Cricetulus griseus: one gene and its partners. The protein of the gene in region 1 interacts with the protein of each later gene in a pairwise test. Links are inferred from orthologs where the notes say so. Each region holds a gene or a part of one and is shown in the gene's direction. Other genes may lie near its edges. The genes, in order: Maged1, Smap2, Ttc23, Ca8, Pitx1, Tfg and Rbfox1.

Region 1 (4,137 bases):
CTCAGGGGCTCACATAACCAGGGACAGATAGTCCCGACACTAATCACGCAATTCTAAAGCCCAGCCGAGGTTCATTCTGCAAGAACAGAACAGACACACCTGACTGCTCCGGCCTCAAGCAAGCATCATCAAGTCCTGGGGTCTCACTCTGGGCAAGTGCCTGCCAACGGGAGTACAGAGTGAACCTGAAGGGTTCCCACATATACTAGGCCTCTTAGAACACAGGCTTTGTCCACTTGGAACAAATATTGGGGAGAGGAAAGATTGTCATTTCAATGAAAAATTAAGGGGTGTCTTGATTCTCAGACCAGCACTAATAGCTATATAGATTTTGCAGTCAGGAAAATCCGCACCCCACCCCCCCGCCCCGCCCCATGTTTGGTTTTTGGATAAAGTCTCAGCGTTGTGCACCTGGCCTGGAACTCGTGGCTTTCCTCACTCAGTCTCCAGAGTGCTGGGATTACCAGTGTGCACCACTGTGCTGTGCCAAATTTTGCCCTCTCTGTTTGTTACTTGCTCAGTGCCCTGGTTCATACAGTGGGTTTATGATTTAGCTACCTGGTATGCAAAATGAAGATGTTGCCCTCCATCAATCTTCTAGGGCTGATGTTCGAGAAAAACCAGCTCCAGGACAGATCCCACTGCCCTTATGCCTTTCCCTCCCCTCTCTGGCCCACACCTCATGAAATGTTTCCATGGCAAAACTGCAAATAAATAAATAAATAAATAAATAAATAAATAAATAAATAAATAAAAAGAAAACGGGGTGGGGAGGGCGGCAAGAGAAAAGCTCATTTTCTGAGTCTGGTCAGAGGAAATCTACCCCCTGGCTGGCACTTGCTTTGCTACCTCCTGGAATGTATCCCCCCCAAGGCCGACCTTTAAGGTTCCTGCGTTGCAAAGTGGGTGAACTCAGCAGAGGCCTAGCTTGCAGCGAACTAAGAGACCCCCCGCAGAGGCCTACCTAAGAGGCCCTAAGCAAGGGGTGGGAGGTACTTGCAGGCCTGGCTAGAGAGTCCTGGGTGGGGGGGGAAGGGAGGGACTGAGGAGAGACGCATTGCGGATAAAGGTAGGGGGCTGGTGTGTTGGGCAAGGGGGTGGGACCAAAAGGCGCTGCGCATCTGTTGGAGGAGTGGGTGCGTAAGAAGAAGGGGAGGAACCTTCGTACACTGTCAACCTGGTTGGCGGTGGGATAGTGTGTTGGCAAAGAGGCGGGATCTCCTCCAAGTGCACATGCGCGACAAGGTCTCTAGGATGAAGCTTTTGTTGGGAAAGCAAGCGGGACTCTTATTTGGACAGTTAGCTATTGCGCATGCGCGAGGCTTCCTGAGGCGGTGGGTGGTATATTAGGCGAAGAGGCGGGGTCGCCCGAGCTGCCGCGCTGGCATTTTCTCCTGGACAAGGAGAGAGTGCGGCTGCTGAGAGCCGAGCACAGCAATCCTGATCCTCTGAGTCGTGAAGAAGGGAGACAGCAAGGGGGTTGGGGTTGGGGCCTGAGGCAAGGTGAGATTAGCCCCCAGACTGGGCATCTGCCCCCTGGTGTGGCATCCTTCCCCCATTCTTTTATCCCAATCCCTTTACCCTGGATTCAGAAACCCCCTCCACTACCCGATCCCTGATTCTTACCCCCCCCCCCATCTAATTTAGAACCCCGTTCATTCTCTGAATCCTTATCCCATTCCTTCACAGAATCCTCAAATTTCTCGACCTTGATCCGTTATAGATTCCTTTTGATTGAGAACCTCAATCCAACTTTCCAGAAGCGAATTTTTCCCCCTCGCTCTCCCCCGCCCCCCGAAAACTGCCGCATTCAGAGCTCTTATCAGATTCCAGAACGCGGATTTGAAGCTTTTCCCTATCGGGTTCTGGAATTTTTAAATTGCCCATCAGGATGCTCATTTACTTTTCCCGCTCTGATTAGGCTTGTTTCTCCCCTTATCCAGCACCTCACCCGCCCCCAGCATCAAACCACACACGCACACACAATTCGGCCCTACGTATTTTCCTTCTGTAGTGTAATGCCTAGTTCCTCTCCCACACCCCCCTAGGCTCTGCTCTTGCCAGAGACACAAGAGCTATGGCTCAGAAACCGGACGGCGGTGCAGGCCTCCGCGGCTACCAGGTGAGATCCCCGCTCCCCATTCCTCCATTTTCCCTGCTGACAGATTACGCGCACCCCCCGGCCCCTTTGGTGGCACAAATGGCAGGCTCTGATTTTGCCCTTCTTCCGGCCTAGACTCCGCTGGCTCTCAAATGTCTAGCGTTTATCGAATGGGGGGAGGGGCGTCCCTTTTCAGCCATCGGTCCCTGCTTAGAGAAAGGGGAGACCCTGTTAGTCAGGGCATTCTGCCCAGAGAATGCGGGTTGGGTAAGGAACCATTTTTTTTTCCATAACCCTGACGCGTGTAGAGCAGTCTGTCGCCCCATCCCCCAACCTCTCGCCTCCACCCTCCCTTTCTCCACGCCGCGAGACTCCCCCTCCACCCTCCCTGCTTATCCTCCGCGATTCCTCCCTCCTCCTCCTCGGGTCTTGAGCTCCCCACCGCAAGCCTAACCAGTCCGGCTCTGAACCTGTTTGGGGTCAGTGGTTGCACCACGGTTCCTCACCAGTCCCTGCTGCCTCTGACTGCCCTCACCTTGTCCTGCCCCCTCTATTCTTAACCAAATTTTGTTCCCACCCCGCCTCCCTTTGACCCTTCTGTGCCCCCAGATCTGTGAACTGCGATGCGTGTCTACAGCTCCCCTGCTGCGTATGCCCCTCCTTCTGATCTGGCTTGTAAGGCCCAGAGGTTGAAATTCCCCCTCCTGTATTTGCAGGCTGAGGCCTCTGTAGAAGACAGCGCCTTGCTTGTGCAGACCTTGATGGAAGCCATCCAGATCTCCGAGGCTCCACCCACCAACCAGGCCACAGCAGCTGCCAGTGGGCAGAATGTTAGTCCCCAGAGTTCACAGCCCCCAACTGCCAATCAGGTGGCTGATACTGGGGTTTCAACAGCAGCTGCTAGGCCTAAGACAGGCTTTAGAGCCCAGAATACCTTCTCAAAGGGTCCAAATGATTTCTCTCACGCACGTAATGCCAAGGAGATGTCCAAGAACCAGTCTAAGGCGGCCTATAAGTCACATAATGGCACCTCTAAAGGGCCAAATGCTGCCTCTAATTTTTCCCACGGAGCAACCACAGGCAAATCAGCAGCTAAAAAGTCTGAAATAGCCTTTAAGGTCCAGAATACCACTACTAAGGCAGGCCCTGGTGCCACCTACAATTTCTCTCAGTCTCCCAGTGCCAATGAGATGATCAACAACCAGCCTAAGACAGCTACTAAGGCTTGGAATGATACCACTAAGGTCCCTGCAGCTGATGCCCAGATCCAGAATGTAAACCAGGCCAAAATGGCTAATGTAGGGACCAGCCCAGGTATCTCTGAAACTGGTGGTGCAGCTGCACAGACCTCAGCCGATGGCTCCCAGGCTCAGAATGTGGAGTCTCGGACTATAATTCGGGGCAAGAGGACCCGCAAGGTGAGATCCCTCCTAGCTTTACTTAGCTCCAAACAAAATAAAGGGCGCATATACCTGTATTGGGGCTAGGTTTTAGGGGGTGTTGAGGTAAATGTTTATTCCTGACCCCTGATTGTCCACAGGTTGATGGTGAGTTTATACAAGGACAGATAATCTGGATCACCGTACCACCTGTGTATAGGTCATTTTACATTTTGACAGTAAACACCATGGGTGAGGTCGTAAGCTAGGCTGGCTCACACCAAATTATCATTGAAGCTTCACCTCACTAGCTAGAGAAAACACAGGATGAAATGAGATGGCTTGAATTCAGGATGATAGCAGTAGTCACACAGGAAAAGGAGAAGCCCTAGTCCCCACTTTATGGTTGTTCTTGGTCTGGTTTGGACATGAATCTCCCACCTGAAAGACAATGAAAAATAAACATAAAGTGACCGATGACTAGTGAAGGGTCAGAATGTCCTTATAGGTGGAAAATTCATAGGAACTTCCTAGATTAGCTGCTGGGAGGACCAAGGATTAATAGTGACTCTGGAATTTTCTTTTCTCTTACGATGCAGATTAATAACTTGAATGTGGAAGAGAACAGCAGTGGGGATCAAAGGCGGGCCTCACTAG
Region 2 (3,500 bases), on another chromosome or scaffold:
GTTCAGTACATTATCATCATGGTGGGACAGGGCAGCATGCAGGCAGACATGGTGCTGGAGAAGGAGATGAGAGTTGTACATCTTGCACCGGCAACAGGAAGTGAACTGAGATACTGGGCATGGATTGAGCATATATGAGACCTCAAAGCCCGCCTCCACAGTGACAAACTGACTTAACATAAGCTATAAATTCATTTCTTTTTCTCTACCCACTATCCCCCATTGTCTTACACTTTAACAACATTGCCCAGGCTGACCTAGAATTCACTACCCAGGTAGCCTCAAACTCTCAGCCAGCCTTCTGCTAAATTCTGGGATTATAGGTATGAGCTTTCACAACTATACATGAGCCATTAATTCTAATCAGAAATGGTAGAAGTATCAGAAACTGTAAGGGTTCTTACACAGGCAACAATTCTGATTGTTCTGCTGCCCTCTATGCCCTAAGGCTATAGGTTCTATGCCAACCAATTTTCCCACTGTCCTCTGTGCCCTAGGGTATAGGTTCCATGCCCAGTGGTTTTCTCACTGCCCTGGGCTGTGGGTTCCATGCTGACTGATTTCGCCACTGTCCTCTGTGCCCTAGGCTGTGGGTTCCATGCCAACTGCAGGGAGTGCTGGTTCTGTCCCTGAGAACCTGAACCTGTTTCCTGAGCCAGGGAGCAAATCAGAAGAAACAGGCAAGAAACAGCTCTCCAAGGACTCCATCCTCTCACTGTATGGATCCCAGACGCCTCAAATGCCTGCCCAAGGTAAAGTCTGTGAAGTCACAGAGGTGCTCCAAGGACATACTGAGAACAAACATGCAAAATTATAGAATTTTATTCAGCCATAAAGAAAAATGAAATTTGTAAACAGTGGATAGAACTGGAAAAAATTTTATTGAGATAACCAGCCTTAGAAACATACATACCACATGTTTTATTTTGCTCTCACACAAGTAAACATGTGTGCTAGAATCCACATATGAGAGTAATTAAGGCTAGAGTCCAAGAAACTAGAAAGGGCCCCATGAGAGGGAAAGGCTCTGTTCACACATATGAAATGAAATGGAGAGAGAATACAGCAGGGATGGGATCCAGCATGATGAGGGAGAGGGTCTGCCCGGGAAAAAGGAAGGACTAGATAAGAGCAAGGCCCAGTGGTGACCTCAGAGAGACTTAAAGAGAGTTCACCCTGCTGCTTTGCTGTGGAGAACAGGATTCCAAGTTGAGTAATCAGAGAACTTCCGGGAAAGGAATAGCTGGTGAGTATTTGGGCTAACGTGTCTTTTACTCTTTAACAGACCCTTATGTGTGTTTTCTTGGCAGCAATGTTCATGGCTCCTGCTCAGATGGCATATCCCACAGCTTACCCCAGTTTCCCTGGGGTTACACCACCTAACAGTATCATGGGGAGCATGATGCCACCACCAGTAGGCATGGTAGCTCAACCAGGAGCCTCTGGAATGGTGGCCCCCATGGCCATGCCTGCAGGCTACATGGGGGGCATGCAGGCTTCCATGATGGGTGTGCCCAACGGGATGATGACTCAACAGGCCAGCTACATGGCAAGCATGGCAGCTATGCCCCAGACTATGTATGGGGTTCAGCCAGCTCAGCAGCTACAGTGGAACCTTACTCAGGTAAGCAGCCGTACTGTACCTGGGATGGGACTTGAGAGCCTTCCTGGGTGTCCCACCTGGTGCCACTCCTTTATCCCCCAAATCCTTTCCAAATGGACAAGCTAATGCCAGAGATATACCTCATTTTATTTCCCTAGAAGGCCTGGATGAAGTCAGACTTTTTGAGGGTTCCTAAGTTCCCAGAGAACAAGACCCATAGACTGACTGAGTCTCCCCACACCTAAAAACAAAACAAACCTCTACAGACAATCAGGGGGCACAAGCAAAAGCGCTAGTACATGATGCATGACATGACATTAAGGTTAGGAGCACCCTAATCCCACGGAGCCAGAGAGGAGACTATGCAGAAAGAGGAGAGAGAGCAGAGGCCTAGAGGTGACAAAGCCAGAAGGAGAAAGGCCCATCCTGGTGGAGGCATACTGAGAGCTGGCATGGCAGAGTAGAGCTCTGATTACCTGGGGCCTCACAGACATGGGAGTGAAACACACGGGCATCTAGGTTGGTGACTTGGAAAGACATTGTATGTGTGGAGGCGGGTGTGACATAGGAAGAGGAAAGTCTCTGAAAGTCTGGAGGTGATGGGAAAGAAAGAAGTGAAGAATGGAATAGACAGACAAAGCAGAAGACACACCATCCATTCATCTGTGTAGTCATTCCACAAACAGGAGAGGGCGCTCTGGAATGCCTGTCTGTAATATCCCCAAATGCTCACGTCTGTTTGCATTGTCACTGCCTCAGAAGAATGAGGTGCTAGGAAGTTAGCAGAACGTGGTAGCTGGCGAAAGTAGAAAACAAAAGTCAGAGTACATGATCCCACCCCACGCCATGGAGCTAGGGGGAGGAGAGAGCTTTCCCTAAGTGCTACCCTGGTAAACTGACCACTCTCCAGTAGAAGACCATGTATCTGAGACTATTTGGTTAGCACAAATTGTTCTTGAAGGATTAAAAAAGAAGAAAGACACACACAGCTGAGAGAGTAGGGAAGTTGGGTGAATTGGGGAAGTGTTGGGGTGAGGAGTAATTATGTTCAAAACAGGTTGCATGAACCACCCAAAGAAGTCATTTTAAAGTTGAAGAATTGCCGGTAATGAACCCCCCTCCCAATTATGAAGCAGAAAAAACATGTTACACATTCACCAACCTGAATGAAGTCCCCTTAAACAAACATTTGCAAATAAGAAAAACTGATTGAGGGCTGGAGAGATGGCTCAGTGGTTAAGAGCACTGTCTGTTCTTCCAGAGGACCCGGGTTTAATTCTCAGCACCCACATGGCAGCTCACAACTGTCTGTAACTCCAAGATCTGACACCCTCACACAGACATACATGCAGGCAAAACACCAATGCAAATACATTATTTTAAAAAAAGAAAGAAAGAAAGACTGCTTGAAGCCAGGTATGGCTGCTGGCACCTGAATTACCAGAACTCGGAGGCTGAGTCAGGAGAACTGTGAAAACTGCAAATTGTAAAATGGAAGTTCACTGCATTAAGGGCAAATTGAAAAAAAAGACAAAATAATATCAGAAATAAAGACTAAAGTAAGGTGAATGGATTCAGCTGAAAATATATTTGATAACAAAAGGCATGGACCAGGTGAGAGAAGGAAACTAATTATAAAAAAAGGTGTAGTGTCCATGTTCACATCCCCCCACAGACACATACACAAACTAATAACAAAACAAAGGAGTAAAAGAACCAGACTGGAGAGATGGCTCAGCAGCTAAGAGCACTGGCTGCTCTTCCACAGGACCCACCTGGCAGCTCCCAACTGTCTGTAACTCCAGTTTAGGGGAACTGATGCCCTCCGCTGGCCTACACAGACACCAGGCACACTCATGGTACTCATTCAAACACAGAGACAAAACACTCATACATA
Region 3 (3,500 bases), on another chromosome or scaffold:
CCATTGCCCCATCACGGGACGCAGCAGAGCCACAGGCTGGGGCACAGGCTGGAACCTCCAACAGTGTGAGTACCATTAGCTGTCCTTACTTTATGCTGATTTATCTCAGGTGTTTGTTTCAACAGCAGAGGGTTGTGTAGTCACAGCTCTGGTCTTCAATTCCCTTTCCATTTTCCATGCCTTCGATCTTCCTTCTCTTGCTCTTCTGATTATCATTTATGTCAAACCATTTTTATTTTATCAATCAGTGTGTTTAAGAGTTTAGAATGGAGCCAGGCAGTGGTGGCACACACCTTGAGTCCCAGCACACTCAGGAGGCAGAGGCAGGCAGATCTCTGTGAGTTCAAGACCAGCCTGGTCTACAAGAGCTAGTTCCAGGACAGCCTCCAAAGCCACAGAGAAACCCTGTCTTGAAACTCGCCCCCCAAAAGAGTTTAGAATGGTTGGGATTTTTCTTCGCTAGTGTATCAGCTAGATTTTCTAGTTTTGTTTTTTGTTTTTGTTTTTTTTTTTTGGTGTGTGTGTGTGTGTTAAAGAAATATAAAGAGTCCACAGAACTATATGGGTTGTGAGGAGTGACTGATTTCTAGGCAGAGAAAATGTTCTATCAATATCCTAGTGTGTTCGGCTCTGGGATAGCTTCCCCCTCCCTGCCCCTCATATCACCAAGAACACTAAAATGTCTGAAAAACAAGAAAAATAGCTTGCTGTATCCTTCTGAGGTGAAAATAGTTTCTGATAAAATGAGCAGATTAACGGGCACAAGAGAGTCCCTCGAACTGGCTTCTCTTATCCAAATGGTTATTTTTAAACCTTTCACCGTCACTAACAACATATTTGCTCCATCTCTGCTTTGGATCTTTGAGCTATTTTCAAAATGTTCTTCTGTGCTCTTTTCAGATATGGCCGAGCAGTATTTTCAGGAAAGCATGACTCATGTGAAGGATTCTGAAGGAGCAGGAAGAGTCAAGTTCCTTTCCATTCAAGATGAATTTTGCAATTTTCTGCAGATCACTGGACAAAAAGAAGTAAGTGAGTTTAGATCACAATTGTCAAGCTATTCCTACGGGATGCCAAAGACTACTCTTTCAGCCTTCAACCATCTGTTAAACACCTAGTATATACAGGGCATGTCCTAGCCTCTGGAGAGACCCAGGTAAGTAAATCAAGGAGCCACTCTCAGGCAGCATCCACATGCTTCCTCTTAGAAACAAAACAGTGAGAAATTAAATGCTACATCCAACTACAAAAGGTCACGAAGGGTTGAAAACCTTGAGAACTCAGTGGGCAAGAGCCCTCACTGAAGCCCAAGGTTCTTCCAGCTGGGGTGGTCTGTGGCCCTCAGTGTGGTCAATTCCTTTTTTCCTCTTCTGTATATTGAATGGAATTTTCATTTCTAACAAAAACTACCCAGCACAGAGGTCCCAGCTCACTGTCTCTGCTGCTGGTCTGTAAAGGCATGCTCAACATGACTTAGAAAGGTAGGACAAAGCCAGAGCTTATAGTATACTAAAAAAAATTTCCGTGTAAGTCAGAGCAGCTCCAGGAAAAGAAAGTAGATAATTTAGAGGTGTGTGGTGTGTGTGTGTGTGTGCTGTGTGCTGTGTGTGTGTGTGTGTGTGTGTGTGTGTGTGTGTGTGTGTGTGTGGTATGTGTGTGCATGTGTGATGTATGTGTATGTGTGTGGTGTGTGTGTGGTATGTGTGTGTATATGTGATGTGTGCATGTGTGTGGTGTGTGTGTGTGTGTGTGTGTGTATGTGTGTGTGTGTGTATGTGTGTGTGTGTGTGTGTTATGTGTGTATGTGTGTTTTCAGTCTAGCATAGCAGATCTTGGAGATGAAGATGAAAAGTAGTCTTTCTTTGTTGTCTGGAGTTGTCTTTGTTGTCTTCTCCCTACTACGCTTTCCTCATCCTTGACTTCTTTTCTCTCAGTTAAGGACCACGGGCTTTTATTCTGCACTCATTCCATTTGTCAGGCCAGAGTAAATGCACAGTCACCATAACAAATAGTGTTTCACTGTTCTTCTGAATCACCCAGCCAAAGATACAGGGCCCTGCTAGGGCCTCGGATTCCTACCCGAGACTCCATCTTAGTCCTATGGGGACTTCACAGGTTCCTCATTCACCTCCAAGTTTCCTCAACACACACATGGTTTAACATTTCCCCTCCCACCATCCATCATCTCATCAGGACCACTCTAGAATCTTCTCTTTCCCAGGTGCTTCCTCCCCACTTTTACCTTAATCTGTTCAGATTCTGAAAGCACACCTGAACATCGAACACTCATTTGGTTCTCCAATGAACCTTAATACCCTCATGGCAAAGCTGGCATGACCCTCCCAATGTCCAGAGTCTGCTGATGTTTTGTTTTGTTTTGTTTTGTTTTGTTTTGTTTTGAGATAGGGTTTCTTTGTATTGCTTTGAAGCCTATCCTGGCACTCGCTCTATAGTCCAGGGCTGGCCTCGAACTCAAAGAGCTCCCCCTGCCTCTGCCTCCTGAGTGCTCAGGATTAAAGGTTTTGCCACCACCAACTGCCCAGCAAGCTCCAGGAGCCTTCTGTCTTTGCCTCCCTAGCTCTGGGATTACAGGTGCACACCACCACAGCCGGCATTTTTATGTGGGTTCTGGGGATTGAACTCAGGCCCTTATGCTTGAGGTACTTTTAAAGACCATCTGCCTCCCCAGCCCATACTGCCCCTTTCTAACACCTCCCTGCTATGACTGCTCTTAATAATTCTGGTTCTTCCCATTAAGTTTTCCCATCTGCTTTCCATTGTCATCAGAATGTGTCTTTTAACTTGACACGCACCCATCCTAGTCTCCCTAGTCAACAGAAGCAGTGTCAAAAGCTTCATTCAGGAGAAGAACCTCCAGCCCTTCTCCCCATCACTGACTGACTTCCCAAAGCCCAGCAGTCAAATCCCATGGGAAAGCCACCTCACAGGTGTTGGGAGGGGGATGCATGGAGATCCCAGACCTCTGAGTGCTGCAATGAGCCACACTTGGCAAGTTACACAGTTGCTTTGCCTGAGAAGTTGATTTCTGCTCATTACCACCCTTAATGTGCCAACCCAGTCACTAACTCACGTTACTGCCCAAAAGGAGCCATGTTCTTCATTCACATGTCTGCCTGTCTACGACATGGAATCGGGATGTGCCCCCATCCACCCATACCAGGGCTATGCTATGGGAATCCCTTTCTGTGGTCCTGGCTTTATTTGACTGTTGAATTCAGCATTCACGTTGTACAACCATAACTATGTTTTCAGGTGGAAGATCCAGTAAGAATTTCAGGATGTGTTGGAAGTTCAGGCTTTCCCCCTGTATGTCTTAGTATCTGCAAACATTAATAATCGGGGAATATTATTTTCTGACCAGCTCCTATTTTCCTATTCCATGTTGGCACAAATAAATAGGACAAAGCATGATGTCATGCTCCATGGAATGTTTACTTTCGGCTTCCTAAGCATTCACCGTGAGAACAGAAAGTCCAGAA
Region 4 (3,979 bases), on another chromosome or scaffold:
AGTGAAGGATAGGAATCCAGCATCTCAAAGTCCCCCAATTAATCATCTCCATCCTGTTTGAGGAACTAGCATGCATAAAGATGTAACGATCTAGGAACCACAGTCCATTAATCTGCTCACAGACATTTTGGAGTGTGCACAGGATATATAAAAGGTAAATTGTACGCCAGGCCTGCAGCCGAGCTTATCATACAAATATATCTCCTAAAATGTGGAGAACAGAAGCTTAGGGGTTACTGAACAGGGCTGGAACACAGAGATGAAGCATTAGCCTGGGGTTGGGAAACATGTTCCAGAGGTAACGACTTGACCTCTTTGGATCAGGGAAAGTTCCTGTTTGTTTCGTAATGTGTGCATTTCATTATTTGCACGATTTCACGAGTTGCTTGGGAGCAGTGTACGCAGTAAGGTGAGTCTGAAGCAGCACCCCGGACTTAGAAAGTGGAATCAAACACCCTGTTTCCTTGTCTTTGAAATACATTTAGTAAAGACCTCCCAAAGTATACCTACTTCTTGATGCTAAATTCGTCCTTTTCTTTTCCTGAAATGTTTGTAGGAGTTTCTTGAGGGAAAAAATGCTATGCACATTTTCACTGTGCTCTAAGGACGAATTAAAAAGTAAAACCAGCTCACAGGACAGCGACCCAGGCTGTGGTGGTGCATTCTTGCAACCCCAGTGTTTACGAAGTTCAAGGTCATTCCTTTCTCCACAGGGAGGAGTTTGAAGCCAGCCTGGTCTCCTTGAGACCCTGTCTTACAAAATCAAGCCCCAACAAAACTAACGGGTAAATGATGGGGAATAAACCCTTTGACCACAGTCTTATTGAGTTCTCGGTCTTCAATGCCCTTCCCATGCCAAGGCCACCCATCCGCTCATTTCAGGACATTGCCTGGAGCAAGGTGAGGCGCCCGGGCCAGGCGGGTCCTGGGGTCGCGCTTGGGCGCAGCAGGCTTCCTGGGGTGCAGCCACCCCAGCTCGGCTTTCTGCTGGCGGCTCTGTTGGGGGGGGGAGGAGGGAGGGTGTTAGTAGGGGGCGGGTCTTCAGGCCAGACACGCCCCCACCGGCCTTAAAACGCGCCAGCCTGAGTCCAAGCCGCCGCTGCTCGCGCTCGCGGGGACTGCCACGCTCCGCGCGGCCCCCAGCCCCGCGCCTGCCGCACCCGTGCCGCACAGCTGCCCATGGCTGACCTGAGCTTCATCGAGGATGCAGTTGCCTTCCCCGAGAAGGAGGAAGACGAGGAGGAGGAGGAGGAGGGCGTGGAGTGGGGCTACGAGGAAGGTAGGTTCCTGGGGCTGCTGTCGCTGCTTCTCTGCCCGGCGCGGTCCGGCGCCTTCCTCTCCGAGGCTGCCCGTCCGCAGTTCGCACCTGCTGCTCTCAGGCAGCCCAGCCCGGAGCAAACCTAGTTGCTTCCTAGTCTTGAGAAGTACAACCAAATGCGCCAAATGCGTCCCGAATTCAAGCTGGGTCAGTGTTCTTGGAGACTTTAAAAGGAGTTTCCTAAATCTGTCCCGGAAGCCCAGGACTCCTAATAGACATTAGTGCCCATGTTTACTGTATACAGAGGGAAAAAAGCGCAAAGGAGTCCATAAACATGTGCATGGGATACTGTATTTGCTTTTTAAACAAGTGTTGCTACTCAGCACCACAGGGTTTCTGCTGTCTCTGAGCATGTTGAACATTGCAGATATTTTCTAAGTATTGCATGTAATTGAACTGATGAGCAGAGGAAATTCTTGTGGCGTTTTTTCTGATCACTTAAAAATGACTTACGTTTCCCAAATCCCTAAAATCAAGGCATCTGTGTGCACAGATATAAACACACAGTAAAGAATTTCGTGTGTGGTATTATAAATATAAACAGATCACTCACATAATGAATGTAAAAACCCATACACATTTCTCATATTTCATTTATATATAGATGGTAGTCATAGCTATAATATCAAGGATTATGAGTTTTTATGTTATATTTTATTGTTGCTAACTTAAACAAAACCTATTCTCAATTTTTGTTATTTTCTCCTCAGGTGTTGAGTGGGGCTTGGTGTTTCCCGATGCCAACGGGGAGTACCAGTCTCCTATCAACCTAAATTCCAGAGAAGCTAGGTACGATCCGTCGCTGCTGGATGTCCGTCTGTCTCCGAATTACGTGGTCTGCAGGGACTGTGAAGTCACCAACGATGGACACACCATTCAAGTTATCCTAAAGTCAAAATCAGGTATTTTGGAAAGTGTGTTTCTGCGCTTTTGTGAGCAAGTGGACAATCTCTGATTTAACTTACAGGGTCTTAAAGGGGGCACCGATGCAATTTCTATCTTCATAGTTCTTTACAAGATGCATTTTCTGGGAATTATATTCTGAAATAGCTGTGAAGGGCTAAGAGGGTGAAGTGATGGCTGTCTCAGCTGGCTGTTCTCCCAAAGCTGTGCCTGGAGCCGCCTCTGTTGCTTGAACAAACATTTACCGAACTGTGGGGAAAGCAGTACATACACAGGCATGTTTATTTGAGTTTTTTTTTTTTCTGTGCATCTTGTTCAAAATTATTGATTAGCTGAAATCATTTAATTATAATTCTTCGTTTTTCTGGTTTGTGAAACCAAAGATCAGAATTTATTGATGTTGTTCATGTTCAAGATAAACTTTTCAAATTAAATTTCCCTTCTCTATTAATGTCAAGAATGATTTTAATAACAGTTCAACCCAGCCAGATATTTAAATGGAAACCTAGCTGGATATTTAAATGGAAGCTTAGCCAGATATTTAAATGGAAACCTAGCTCTTGGTTTTGTTTAGTTTTACACACCCTTCTTCGTGAACCTAGTTGAAATGGATCTGAAATGGTTTGTGGAAAAATTAAATTTCCAGGGAAATTGGTTTTCAGCTTAATTGTAGGAGAGATGAAAGCAGATTAAAAAAACAAGCATTAACATTGTGTTTTTCAGGGGGATAATGACCGTTTTCCTCCTGGAAAGAATGGAACATTAGAGTATGTTGGATGTTGATGTGAGCTTTAATAGGCTGTGCTTACGTTAACTTCAGATTGATAGGGTAGGTATTTTAAATCATAAAACCTTTAGGTCTGACATTAGGCAAGGAAGGTACGGATTTCTTCCTTTAACTTATCATGTTTCGGCACTTTATTTGAAATCTGTGAGATAGAACATGTATTCTTTGAGGCTGTTGTAAGTTTAATCAAGGTTGTGATGGCTCCTGAAGCACAGTCTGTGTTTTGTATAGAGTTAGTATATTTCTTCCTAAGTTCCTCCTATGTCTTGGAGATGTTTACCTCTGGCTATGGTATATTTTACATTACCATATACTTGGTATACTCCTTTGTCCTTTTCCTCCTCTGACTTCCACTCCTGAGTGGTAGGAAGAACCACCTGTATTTCTGTCCTGCTCCAGGTTTTGTCCTCCAGTCCTCTGGGACTTTCCTCCCTCACATGCTCTGTTCTCTTTCTGTCACTGCAGTAATTTCTCCTTTTCAATATTTCAGCAAACTTAAAAGTTAATTGGTGGTGTGCATGGTGGCACACACCTTTAATTCCAGCCCTCCAGAAGCAGAGGAAGGTTGATCTCTGTGAGTACAGGCTAGTCTGATCTACATAGTGGACACTTATCTAAAAAAGACAAGTAACTGAAAAAAACAATGTCTTGAGTAGTTTATTACCTTTTTTAGGATATTTCAGCTTCTGTAAACTCTGAACACCATTATTTATTTAAGGAAGTATTTTCTTTATCAAAATGGAATACAGACATAATTTGAATAGTTGGCTATTTCTTTATTTTCTCTACCTCTAGCTACAGCCTATCTCACTCCTCCTACAACTTGTTTTTCTCTAGCAACAACTACTTTGAATCTCTAAGAATTATTTTTTGTTTGCTGAAGTCATAATATAATTTCATCATTTCCCTTTCCTTTCTCCAAACCCTCACATATACCTTTTCTTGCTCTTTTTCAAACTCATGACCACTTT
Region 5 (4,004 bases), on another chromosome or scaffold:
CTGCCAAAAGCCTGATCATAGGAGGTGTAAAACAAAGGCGGAGGTGGAAAAGGTAATGGGCCTTGCTGGGCTCTTGGGGTCTCCAGCCCCACTCACCACGGCCTAGAGCCAACAGAAACGTTTCGTCTGATTAGAAGCCATCATTTCTATCCCAATCCCGGAAAATTGACTGCGGTGCAGACGAAGGCCTGAGAAGCAGCCTTAGGGGAGAGTGTCCAAGCTAATTAGAAGACTGCATCCGGGGGCCCATTAGAGCTCGCAGGCTGCTGTCACTCAACCGGCCCGAGTTCCTGGGAGAAGAGACTGGGGAAGGAGGGGCCGGCGGCCCCTCGAGGACACCGCTGGGAGCTGCGGGAGCCGGGAACCGGCCCTTGGCTCGGCCCCCCGCCTGGTGCTGGCTCGGAGGCGCGGGCTCAGAGCGATCCTGTTCGGCGGGCGAACCTTCACTCATCCTAGGTTGCTCTCGCCAGCGGCTGGCGACTTCGAAGCGGCCCAGACAGGAGTTGACTCTCAGCGAAACAAGTCATTTGGGGCCCCAAGGTGGGCACCAGCCGCGCGGGACTTGCAGGCCAGATGCGTTTCTTTTGTGCGGCCGAGGCAGAAGTCGGTGTGTCACCGGGGAAGGAGGGAGAGGCGCGGTGAGGCCGCGGGGGGGGGTGAGGCGGCGGGAAGGTGGCTGCGAGGGGGAGGGCGCGGCGAGGCCGGGAGGGAGAGGGAGAGAGGGAGGGAGGGCGGCGGAGAGGGCGCGGGCGGGCGGGCGGGCGGGCGGCGGCTCGGGGCTGGATTCCGCCGCGCTCGCTCGCTCGCCGCTCGCTCGCGCCCTCCTCCTTCTCCCCCAGCCCCCCCACCGAGGCCCACCCACCACCCCTGGCGCAGGGACTGCTGGAACCTGGCGGCGCGCGCTGTCGTTTTCAGACAGACTCAGCGGGCTCCGTCCCGAGCCTTAGAAACCGGCCTCGAATCCGGAGCGGGGCCCGGGCCGGCCGGGCGGCTGAGGCCGGAGCGCGTGGCGGAGCACGGAGCCCCACGCCCGGCCCCGCAGCCCCGGGCGGTCGATGGAGCGCGGGCGGCGTCGCTGCTGGCGCGGGCAGCCCTGGGGGGCAGCCGCTTAGGCGCCGCGCTCTTGTCCCCAACAGGTCGCAGCCGGGGCGGCCGGGCGCGCCCAGCCCCGGCCCCTGGAGCGCCCGCTGCGGTCCCCACCTCCATGGACGCCTTCAAGGGAGGCATGAGCCTGGAGAGGCTGCCGGAGGGGCTGCGGCCACCTCCACCGCCGCCGCACGACATGGGGCCCAGCTTTCACCTGGCCCGCGCCGCCGACCCCCGGGAGCCTCTGGAGAACTCGGCCAGCGAGTCGTCCGACACCGATCTGCCAGGTAAGCGCGGCTCCCCGCGGCGCGCACCCAGCGGCTTGGCGCTCGGCCGGGTCCCCCTGCGCCTCGGCATGGGCATGCCGGAGCTTTCTTTTGCCCGGTCTCGACCTGACGGTGAACGCGGAAATTTACACACGCTCTCGCACGCACACGCGAAGCCGCTTCCAAGCAGTCCCCACACGCCAAGCCCAGAGTGGGACTGACAGCCTCTGTGGAACAGGCGCAAATTGCACGCGCGAGGAAAAAACAAAACAAAACAAAAAGTTGAGTTTTCCCTAACTGATCGCTGAGGAGCCGCTGGGGCGCAGGGCAAACAGCAGATGGAGAATGGAGGGGAAAGCGAGACAAAGTGCCCAGAGAGACACAGGCGGGCGACACCTTGACAAACCGGGAGGTGCAGAAGGAGGAGAGGGTCCTAAAGGAGGGGTAGGCGCACAGAGCAGGTTAGAAGACAGGGGTCAGTCAAACGGAGCTCCGGGGGACAGCGAGAGCAAGCCGGCCAGGAGGCGCGGACTGACTCCGGAGGAACCCTGCTGGAGGGTCCCGGCCCACGTGGACGCCCGAGCTCAGAGCCACCAAGGGTCCAGCCAGAGCGGTTCTAGACTGACCCCACAAATTCCGCGCTGCCTTTTTCTTTTCTTTCCTTTCCCTTTTCCTTTCCCTTTTCCTTTCCCTTTCTTTCTCTTTCTCTCTTTCTCTCTTTCTCTCTCTCTCTTCTTCTTTCTTTCTTTCTTTCTTTCTTTCTTTCTTTCTTTCTTTCCTTCTTTCTTTCTTTCACCCAAGAGCTGAGCCTTCGACTGGGCGGCTTCGGCTGTGGCCGTTTCCAGGCCTGTCCTGTCTCAGAGTGGCTGCGAATCCGTTGGGTCCCAACCCCGGGTGGCCGCGGAGCACCCGGCTGCCCGCTGTCCCGGCCCTGGGTGCCTCATTGATTTAGTCTGTTTGTTTCTGTTTTGCATCTCTAAGTGACTTTCCCCAGCCGGTCTGTTTGCTTGGTTAGAAAACAAAGCTTTGCCTGTACTTTTGTTTTCAAAAGTTTTAAGCGTGGTGTTTGTTTAAAATTCAAAAAAGAACATAGTTATACATTGCTTTTTACATCAAATCAGCGGGGTGGTTAACAATTTTAATCGTATGCTTCCTTTGAGACAATTCATTAGGTGTATTTCTTTGGAATTTAAAATACATACATACCGCATGATTCTTGGAGCAAAATTTAAAAGTCAATTCAAAATGGCGCATTTCTCTGAGATTTTTTTTTTCAAAACCCTTTTGTAGCAGTTTTATTTTGTGAATTTAAATAGTATAGCTATAACGTATTTCTCTAGGGTTCGAAAATCTCTACCAGGGTGTTACTGTGAAGGGGTCTAAAACTTATTTGCAATGATGCATGGATTTTTTTTCCCAGAGAAATACCTATGTGACTGGTTTATACACATTTGGCCTTGTATTTAGTTTAGGGGTGTGTTTGCACGAATGGTTTTGACTTCTTGATTTACATTTGCTCTGGTTCTGTCTGCCTAGCTTTGAGGATTTGTGGACCTTTGTGTTTTTAGGTGGAGAGCTATGAGCTTCTCTAGGCTTCTGTTTTGTTTTTTTAATTCCTTTTCTTTATATTTAAATGTTATTGGCTGTGCGCATCTCCTGTAGCTTTAAAGAGACAGAGAGGCACGGTCACTTACACAGAACCTGTCTTATCTAGGCTGCAGTTGGTGGGTTTTCTAGACCTTGGGACCCGAGGCCGTTGTGGCTCTGACACAGCTCGGGCAACAACGTTTCAGCTGCTGCTGGGCTCTTAGCCCACAAATCTACTAGCTTAAGTTGGAAATTTCTGGTACTAGTTCAGAAAAACAGAGATGTTCCGGGAAGATTTACACCCGCAAGAGTCTCCAAACACAGTGTGCTTTTGCTGGTGACAGGAGCAGCCAGGCCGCAGCCAGCGCGGGCTTCAGGAAGCAGGCTCCGCCTAGCCGGGACCCCAGGTCCGGTTGGGGCGTCTGGGCTCTTCTCGGTGGCACACCAGACCTTGAGGTGCCTACTAAGGACCAGCACCCGGCCCGCTCTTTTCCAGTGGGGGACAGTTCCTAGGGTCCCTGGTCGGAGGGAGGGCAGCCACCACTCCCTCCGGCTTCGGTGGAGCCGGGACCGGGTGCAATAGTGTTAGCCCGAGGTGACTCGCGCCCTTCCTACCTGCTGCAGACAAGGAGCGCGGCGGGGAAGCCAAGGGGCCCGAGGACGGTGGCACGGGCAGCGCTGGCTGCGGCGGAGCAGAGGACCCAGCCAAGAAGAAGAAACAGCGGCGGCAACGCACTCACTTCACAAGCCAGCAGTTGCAAGAGCTGGAGGCCACGTTCCAAAGGAACCGCTACCCGGACATGAGCATGAGAGAGGAGATTGCGGTGTGGACCAACCTCACTGAGCCGCGAGTGCGGGTGAGCGTGGGGCGCGTGCAGGGCTACCCTACCCGCGGGACACCTCTGGCGCGGCCCTCGGTAGGTCAGACTTAACTCTGACCTCGCAGACCTCCCCCTCTTTCATCCGAGATCCCACAGCTAGGCCCCTGGGCTGCTACTTTCCGAGCCCTTTCACCTAACCCGCTGGAGCCACTGCACCCCTTGTCAGACCCTGTCCCTACCCCAG
Region 6 (3,500 bases), on another chromosome or scaffold:
AGTCATGGGAGGACACTTATTTTCTCAGAAACTGATAGTTCAGATAGGATTTGGTTTTAGACAAAATTGAAAGTAACTGCTAAGAGGCTGGATCTTGAAAATGAAGAAATGAGGACTCAATACAATTTCATTTGTGTTTTCCAAGTTGTGACACAGTTTTGAGAGAATGGGTAATTAAATTAGATAATGTTGCCTTCTTAAAAAAAAAAAAATCCCTGGTGATAATTCAGTAATTGACTTGTGGCTTTACCTAGTACCTGTAAAAGCAGTGGATTTGAAGGATGGTGTTGATTCATAAGCTCTGCATAACTTGTTAATGGATACTTTGTTATTGAGACAAGGTCTCAATGTGTAGGCTTGACTGGCTGCAATTCCTGTGTAAACCATGCTGGCCTTGAACTCAGAGATTCCACCTGTCCAACTGCTGGGATTAACCAAATGCATCACCACACCTGGCTTGATAGGTGCCTTTTGGGAACAACTGTATTTGTTTCTTTTTCTTTTGTTTTCGAGACAGGGTTTCTCTGTGTAACAGCATGGCTGTCCTGGAACTCACTTTGTACTTGAACTTACAGAGACCTGCCTGCCTCTGCTTCCTGAGTGCTAGGACTAAAGGCCTGGCCTGTTTGTGTTAATGAAGTCAAATAGAGGCAAGCTGGATAACATTTGTCAGTCATATTTTGTCTTATTACTTACCTATAGAGAAATGTGTTTTGTATTAATTCATGAATATTACATAGTACAAAATATAATTTGGAAGTTAAATTATTTCTGTTAAAAGAATTTCAGTTTGGTAATTTTCATGAAACTAGAGCTTTCTACAGTATCAGTGTATTTTATTATTATAGTTCTTATAGTAAACATTTTTGCTAGTATCACGACTGGTGGTGTTTCTGCTTCTAGAAAGTAAGCTATAAGCAATTGTCTTTTCCTACAAAAAAGAAAGAAAGAAAGAAAGAAAGAAAGAAAGAAAGAAAGAAAGAAAGAAAGTTACCCAAAGGCCTGGTATGGTGATACAGGCCTTTCATTCCAGTGCCTGAGAGGCAGAGGCAGACAGATCTCTGAGTTTGAGGCTAGACTGGTCAACATAGCAACAAAGTTCCAGGCTGGCCAGGATTTCATAGTAACACACTGTCTGAAAAACAAAGGGGAGGGGGGATGTATTTAAATGACATCAACTGCATGTCTTGTTTTTTGTTACTTTTTAAAGGTATATATTTTAATACTTTTAAATTTTAACATTCTAAAAATAGTTTTAGCGGTGAGGGAGATGGCTCAGTGTGTAAGGTTCTTGCTATTCAACCCTGAGGATCTGAGTTCTGATCCACAAACACTCATCAACTCAGCAGGGGTAGAAAGAAGACAGACAGATCCCCGGGCCTTGCTGGTCAGCCAATCTAGCTAGCTAGTTTAGTGAGAAACCTGTCTCCAGAAGTAAGGTTAAAAGCCATAGAGGAAAACAGCCAGCATCAACTTCTGGCCTCCATGGGAGCACTCACCAGCATTCATACTCCCCATGCACAGACAAGTTAAAATGAATGAATGAAAGTAAAATGACTTATTTCTTCTGATTACTTTTCTTTAGTGTGTTATTTTAATGGCATACTTACTCTAATTTCATCTCCTAAATTTAAGCAAATTATTGATTCCATTTTAGTTAATGGCCAACCAAGACCCCTTGAATCAAGTCAGGTGAAATATCTTCGTCGAGAACTGATAGAACTTCGGAATAAAGTGAATCGCTTATTGGATTGCTTGGAGCCACCTGGAGAACCAGGACCTTCTACCAGTATTCCCGAAAACGGTAAGCTGAGCTTATTTTATTCTATTCTGATGAATTCTTCTACCATGTTTGTGGAGAGAGGGAGGGAGGGTGTGTGTGTGTGATGATGATGATTTGGTAGGAGTAGGATGACATCCTTTGCATCTTTCTTTATTCTTGTCCTTGCTTCTTTCTGTACATGTCAGCATCTGATAGCTGTTTGTTAGGATTACTGTGAAGTTGCATTATACTGCTTCTTGGATTGAATCATAGAGCTATGGGACAACAGGGCCTGCAACCCCATTTTTAAAGTGCTCTATAGGACTGGGGAAGTTGCTTGGTGGAAGAGTACTTGCCTGACATGTGCGGTGCTCTGGATTCAGTCCCCAGTACTGAATAGTAGTAAATTAATGCCCAGGGGATAGCATAAGTCAGTAGTGCTCTTGTGATGGTTTCTTTACATTTAGTCTCAGACACTGAAGTCCATGCGTTAGGTTTGTTTTCAAACCCTTTGATTTCGTGAATTGTCGTGGGATAACTAAGGAATCTTAGGAATTGAAATGATCTTATGATTTTTATGTAGTAAAAACTAAGTTTCAGGTGCAAAGCAATTTTAGATTAGTACTTTAAAATAGTATTTTTAAGTATATTTTAACACAGTTTTTAATAATATGCAAAGGAAAAACTTTTGCATTTTACTGGTGGCATGAACTATTTATAAATAGTAAAGATAATTTCAGGCTTATTGGCACATTTCAAGCTGGTAAATGATCAATAAATATTTGCTGATGAATTAGTAATGTCTAAGCTCACCTTTATTTCAGAATATGGTGAAATTTACTAAACTGTTCTTGGACACTTTTATGATGAAGGCTTATATGCTTCAGAGTAAAGCAATTTGCTTATTCTGAACTGTTGCCCTTTTTTGTTTGCTTTTGTGTACATTTTTGTGTGTGGGTGGAGGTACTCGCAAGTGCAGCATGGTGTTCATGTGCTTTTGGAGGTCACAAGACAATCTAGGTGTCATTCTTCAGGTGCCTTCCACCTGTTGCTTTATGACAGGGTCTCCAGTTGGCCTGGAACTTCACCAAGTAGGCTAGTCTAGCTGACCAGTAAAGTCCAGGAATCTGCTTGTTTCTGCCTCCTGTCATGCCAATGCTGGGGTTACAGGATGTACTACCTAGCCAGCTTGTTATTTGGATTCCAGCATTTCCAAACTCAGGTCCTCTTCAATATAAAGCAAGTAGTACCTCTGGAACAGTCTCCCCAGCCATGAACTTGAGCTTTCTAAACTAAAATCAAGGATTGAATGAAAACATTTTAGACCATTCTCCCAGAAGAATTAATGCACGTTCAAATAGCATGTACATAACCATGTCAAAGATTATGAAGGACAGACCAAAATTCAACCAACATATAGCTATTACCATGCAGCAATTGCCTAAGTGACCCACATTCTTCTCTAAGGAATAGAACTCTGTTATATAGTGTGTGTGGAATGTTCTTGGGCTATAATCTACTTGGTGGATTCCAGGCCATTGAAAGACCCTATCTCAAAAAGCAAACTGGACAGCTCCTGAGAAATGTCTCTGGAGATTGTCTTCTGGCCTCCATGTACATTTGTGTTAACACACACACACACACACACACACACACACACACACACACACACACACACACACACACAATTGGTGTTATTGCTATGATGAAATACCATAACCAAAAGCAACTTGAGGAG
Region 7 (3,500 bases), on another chromosome or scaffold:
CATTATAGGACTATTGTCCAATATCAGATGGCTATTACCACTCTAAAGTGTAATTATTGCATATTTTATTTGTAAAGCTCAATGTCGTGTATGAGGGTCAAGTAACTGTCTTGACTGTGTGTTAGGTTTATTCTGTGAAAATTGATAGAGTATGAAATTGCTTCCTACTTATACCAATGTGGACCCAACATACTGGAATTATTCCAAAGGTTGGTGTATATATTTCTAAACAAAATGTAGAAATATATTTAAGGATTTTAGGAATAGTATGTCAGATTTTTCTATACTCATCATAGAAACAGTGTCAGTAAAGAATGAAGATGGATTTTTAAAAAATGGAATACTGGGGTTGGTGTTAGAGGCTGAAATATTAAAAGCAAAAACTGTACTTGTGATGCAAACAAGGGCTGTATTTGATGTTTATCAGTCAAAGAGGATGGGTTCAGATGGTACATAGATTCTCCCATCTAGGAAATGTCTTTACTTTGGTACCTGTTGACATAGCAAGTGAATGCCAGCCTAGAGCCCTAGAACTTTGTTTTTTGGTTAATAACATAATATAAAAGGTCAAATTCTAAAGCCTTTTATTATTTGGGGAAGGGGGAGGGCAAAGTACAAATGTAGAATGGTACTTGCTTATCTACATTGTTAACCAAAAAAGTTTGTTTCTATTCATTTCATGTGATTTTTCTTTTGTTTATTAGAACCACAAGTTCAAAATTTATTATAAGAAAAGGTCTTTCCTTTTTTAGGCTTGTTACTTTTATTTTTGAGAAGCAAATGCTGTACAGTTGACAGAATCGAATAACCTTAAAATTGCATGAAGAAGAACTGTTCTTAAATCCACGCAGCATGACTCCGTAGGCAATGTGACAGGACTTGAGCATTCACTGTTGAATTCCCGTGCACACGTTTTATTTTGTTTGATTTTTTAATTTGCATGTCAAGAAACTGGTTCCCTTTCTTTTTCCTCATTATTTCATTTATTCTCTGTGAAGACACTGTACATTTATTTTGATCTCGTTTTCTTTTTGTTTGATTTCTTTTCTTTCATAGTGATGTTTAGAAAGGTATTTTTTTTGTTTGTTTGTTGGTTTGGTTTTCGTTTCCATATCCATCTTTGAATTCTTTAGGGGTTCCAGCTAACTGGTGACAGGAAAAAAATCTCGTTCACATTTGTTGCTTAATGACTGCACATCGTAGTGTTCTTATAATTTCTCTAATTTGCATGTTACAGAACTGAAGCCAGGACAAGAAATAGCAATGAAAGCGAGAGAACTTTACCAAGTGGTCGTTGACTGAAATAATAATATGCATGTTGTTCTCCTTCTCCCTCCTGCATGCAGGGATTTGGTTTCGTAACTTTCGAAAATAGTGCGGATGCGGACAGGGCGAGGGAGAAATTGCACGGTACCGTGGTAGAGGGCCGTAAAATCGAGGTGCATGTCCAAAATATTTTCCTTTCCTCTTTTTTTTTTTTATAAATGTCTGCTTCACGCTCATTTGTCCTTCCAGGTGCATCATTGGTGTCTCGTGTGTGACCCTACTCCCTTCTCATTGTTTATATATATTTATATATATATATTTAGATATAAAAAGGAAAACTGGCCTTACTTTCTGTTAAATTTTACTTTACATTATTCTTTATATTACTGCTGGAGATTAGATGGCAAAAAAAAGTGAGATGAAAGGGAGGTTAATATGAAAGGTTCTGTCTGTTTGTTTTATTTTATTTTCCATGTTTTATGAACAATGGGTGCAATAGGTTCCAAAGAGGACACAGTATCCAAACAAAACCAAATATATATCAAGTTTTGTTTTATTTTGTTTCCTTTTTAGTCCACTTTAGGGTTGAAGAGGGATCCACAGTGGTTTGCAAATTAGACCAAATTTCCAAGGCAATGACATTTCAAAATATTAAAACAGAAAAAGTGAGAGGCACTTGTCATTAAATCTTGCTGTTAAAAAAACAAAAGCCAGCTTCAATTTCTGCATTCAATGATTAGACATTGAATAGGCAATCAGCATTTCCCGCTTAAGTCATGGCCCCTGTCAATTGGAAATGTAGACCCTTCGTTCTGACATTCAGCACCTGCCCTTTGTACCACTGGGTTCCTCTTCAACACAATCAAAGGGTCATATTTGTTAAAACTTGAAAAGAAAAAAATTACCAGTTAAAAATGCTTTAGTCTTTGGAGTAAGATGTCGCATATTTTGCCTTTTTATTTTCCCCCCTCGACGGTAACGCTTAGGCCCCTCACCAAACCCTCAGTAACCATGGTAACTGTATACAAACCCATGCTGGCGATGGTGGTGAATGGTAAGTGATGAAGTCCATCTGCCGCTTCACGTATTTAGTGCTGATATATCTCTATACATATCTCTCTACCACGTGGATTTTTTTGACTTGTTGTATTAAGTTTTCTTGATGCTCTATTTTTTTGGGTCTTTGGTACGCCTGTAACTGAGTGTACGTTCTAAGCTAGCCTGAGAGGCTCTGACTGGACTGAGTTATGACCAGTGCACATCTTACTCAGATCGTTAACTCCATATTGTGTTACACAATGCACCCTCTCTTTTATCCTTTTGTTAGCTGTGACCTTAAAGCTTGAATGATTCGTTAATTCTTGCAATGTAAAAGGCTCTTGTTCCAAGTGTTGAATGCTAGATGTTGCTTCCCCATGGTTTCCCTTCCCAAAGTGTTGCACACGGCTTAAACTTGTCTGTCCCTTTCTTTGACATTTATGTTCCCTGTACTTTGTCTCCTCTCCCTTCTCCACTGCATGCCCCTTTCATATTAACTTTATTTTCTGTTTAAAAACCTATCTCTTGTTTCTGTGTTACCATGGAGCACACGCATGCTTTTAAATCTTCAATTATGCATTATCTTTTAATTTGCTTTTACTGTCTCTTTATTAAACTTTTAAATGAGATGACATTGCTTTATTGAAATGATTTGTAAGTTAAATCTGTTATGAAGTAAATGTAATTATAAAAATGTATGATTTTTGGGTTATGCACCTATTGCCATTTGTAAATTAAAATGCATTTCAGTTTTTGTTTAAGTTTTTGTTTCTTGGTTTTGATTTCAATAAGTAATCACAGTCATAATGCATGCAACTAATTGAATCATGGGCTGGCCTTGGCATCCAAACTCACTTGAGTTTTCTATGTGTGTAGGTTAATAACGCAACAGCACGTGTAATGACTAATAAAAAGACTGTCAACCCATACACCAATGGTAAGTAGATACCTGCCTACCACAAGATACCTTCTTTGCCTACAAGTCCACAGTGTTCTTTAACCAGGGAATCTGTTTCTTTTTCATTTTATTCTTTGAAAAGTATTATACATGGATACATTTTATCTTACCACATGTACTCCCAACTCCCCCCTCCAATCCTTCTAAAGAATCCACATCATATCTCCCATCCAACTTCATGTCTTACTTATTCATGTTAGCCCACTGATTTCAACTAGGGGTGATGCACTGGTGTCAA

Evidence for each region.
Region 2: the proteins of Maged1 (region 1) and Smap2 interact in binary tests that used the Homo sapiens proteins (3 or more experiments, as listed by UniProt). The two-hybrid records come from large-scale screens. The link is inferred for Cricetulus griseus from reciprocal best matches to the Homo sapiens genes MAGED1 and SMAP2.
Region 3: the proteins of Maged1 (region 1) and Ttc23 interact in binary tests that used the Homo sapiens proteins (3 or more experiments, as listed by UniProt). The two-hybrid records come from large-scale screens. The link is inferred for Cricetulus griseus from reciprocal best matches to the Homo sapiens genes MAGED1 and TTC23.
Region 4: the proteins of Maged1 (region 1) and Ca8 interact in binary tests that used the Homo sapiens proteins (3 or more experiments, as listed by UniProt). The two-hybrid records come from large-scale screens. The link is inferred for Cricetulus griseus from reciprocal best matches to the Homo sapiens genes MAGED1 and CA8.
Region 5: the proteins of Maged1 (region 1) and Pitx1 interact in binary tests that used the Homo sapiens proteins (3 or more experiments, as listed by UniProt). The link is inferred for Cricetulus griseus from reciprocal best matches to the Homo sapiens genes MAGED1 and PITX1.
Region 6: the proteins of Maged1 (region 1) and Tfg interact in binary tests that used the Homo sapiens proteins (3 or more experiments, as listed by UniProt). The two-hybrid records come from large-scale screens. The link is inferred for Cricetulus griseus from reciprocal best matches to the Homo sapiens genes MAGED1 and TFG.
Region 7: the proteins of Maged1 (region 1) and Rbfox1 interact in a two-hybrid assay, tested with the Homo sapiens proteins (2 studies listed by BioGRID and IntAct). The link is inferred for Cricetulus griseus from reciprocal best matches to the Homo sapiens genes MAGED1 and RBFOX1.

Annotation. Positions count from the first base shown.
Region 1 is NC_048604.1:75,451,632-75,455,768, forward strand, and holds the start of Maged1 (melanoma-associated antigen D1), read left to right. Parts: upstream 1-1,337; 5' UTR 1,338-1,503; intron 1,504-2,048; 5' UTR 2,049-2,077; coding exon 2,078-2,122; intron 2,123-2,817; coding exon 2,818-3,519; intron 3,520-4,079; coding exon 4,080-4,137. UniProt on the Homo sapiens protein: Involved in the apoptotic response after nerve growth factor (NGF) binding in neuronal cells. Inhibits cell cycle progression, and facilitates NGFR-mediated apoptosis. May act as a regulator of the function of DLX family members.
Region 2 is NC_048595.1:31,195,823-31,199,322, forward strand, and holds part of Smap2 (stromal membrane-associated protein 2), read left to right. Parts: intron 1-586; coding exon 587-752; intron 753-1,310; coding exon 1,311-1,624; intron 1,625-3,500.
Region 3 is NC_048596.1:129,512,652-129,516,151, reverse strand, and holds part of Ttc23 (tetratricopeptide repeat protein 23), read left to right. Parts: intron 1-900; coding exon 901-1,028; intron 1,029-3,500. UniProt on the Homo sapiens protein: Participates positively in the ciliary Hedgehog (Hh) signaling.
Region 4 is NC_048595.1:152,453,388-152,457,366, forward strand, and holds the start of Ca8 (carbonic anhydrase-related protein), read left to right. Parts: upstream 1-1,179; coding exon 1,180-1,279; intron 1,280-2,028; coding exon 2,029-2,220; intron 2,221-3,979. UniProt on the Homo sapiens protein: Does not have a carbonic anhydrase catalytic activity.
Region 5 is NC_048596.1:274,817,914-274,821,917, reverse strand, and holds the start of Pitx1 (pituitary homeobox 1), read left to right. Parts: upstream 1-1,204; coding exon 1,205-1,373; intron 1,374-3,563; coding exon 3,564-3,796; intron 3,797-4,004. UniProt on the Homo sapiens protein: Sequence-specific transcription factor that binds gene promoters and activates their transcription. May play a role in the development of anterior structures, and in particular, the brain and facies and in specifying the identity or structure of hindlimb.
Region 6 is NC_048597.1:35,455,611-35,459,110, forward strand, and holds part of Tfg (protein TFG), read left to right. Parts: intron 1-1,657; coding exon 1,658-1,804; intron 1,805-3,500. UniProt on the Homo sapiens protein: Plays a role in the normal dynamic function of the endoplasmic reticulum (ER) and its associated microtubules. Required for secretory cargo traffic from the endoplasmic reticulum to the Golgi apparatus.
Region 7 is NC_048600.1:39,362,281-39,365,780, reverse strand, and holds part of Rbfox1 (RNA binding protein fox-1 homolog 1), read left to right. Parts: intron 1-1,346; coding exon 1,347-1,439; intron 1,440-3,180; coding exon 3,181-3,241; intron 3,242-3,500. UniProt on the Homo sapiens protein: RNA-binding protein that regulates alternative splicing events by binding to 5'-UGCAUGU-3' elements. Regulates alternative splicing of tissue-specific exons and of differentially spliced exons during erythropoiesis.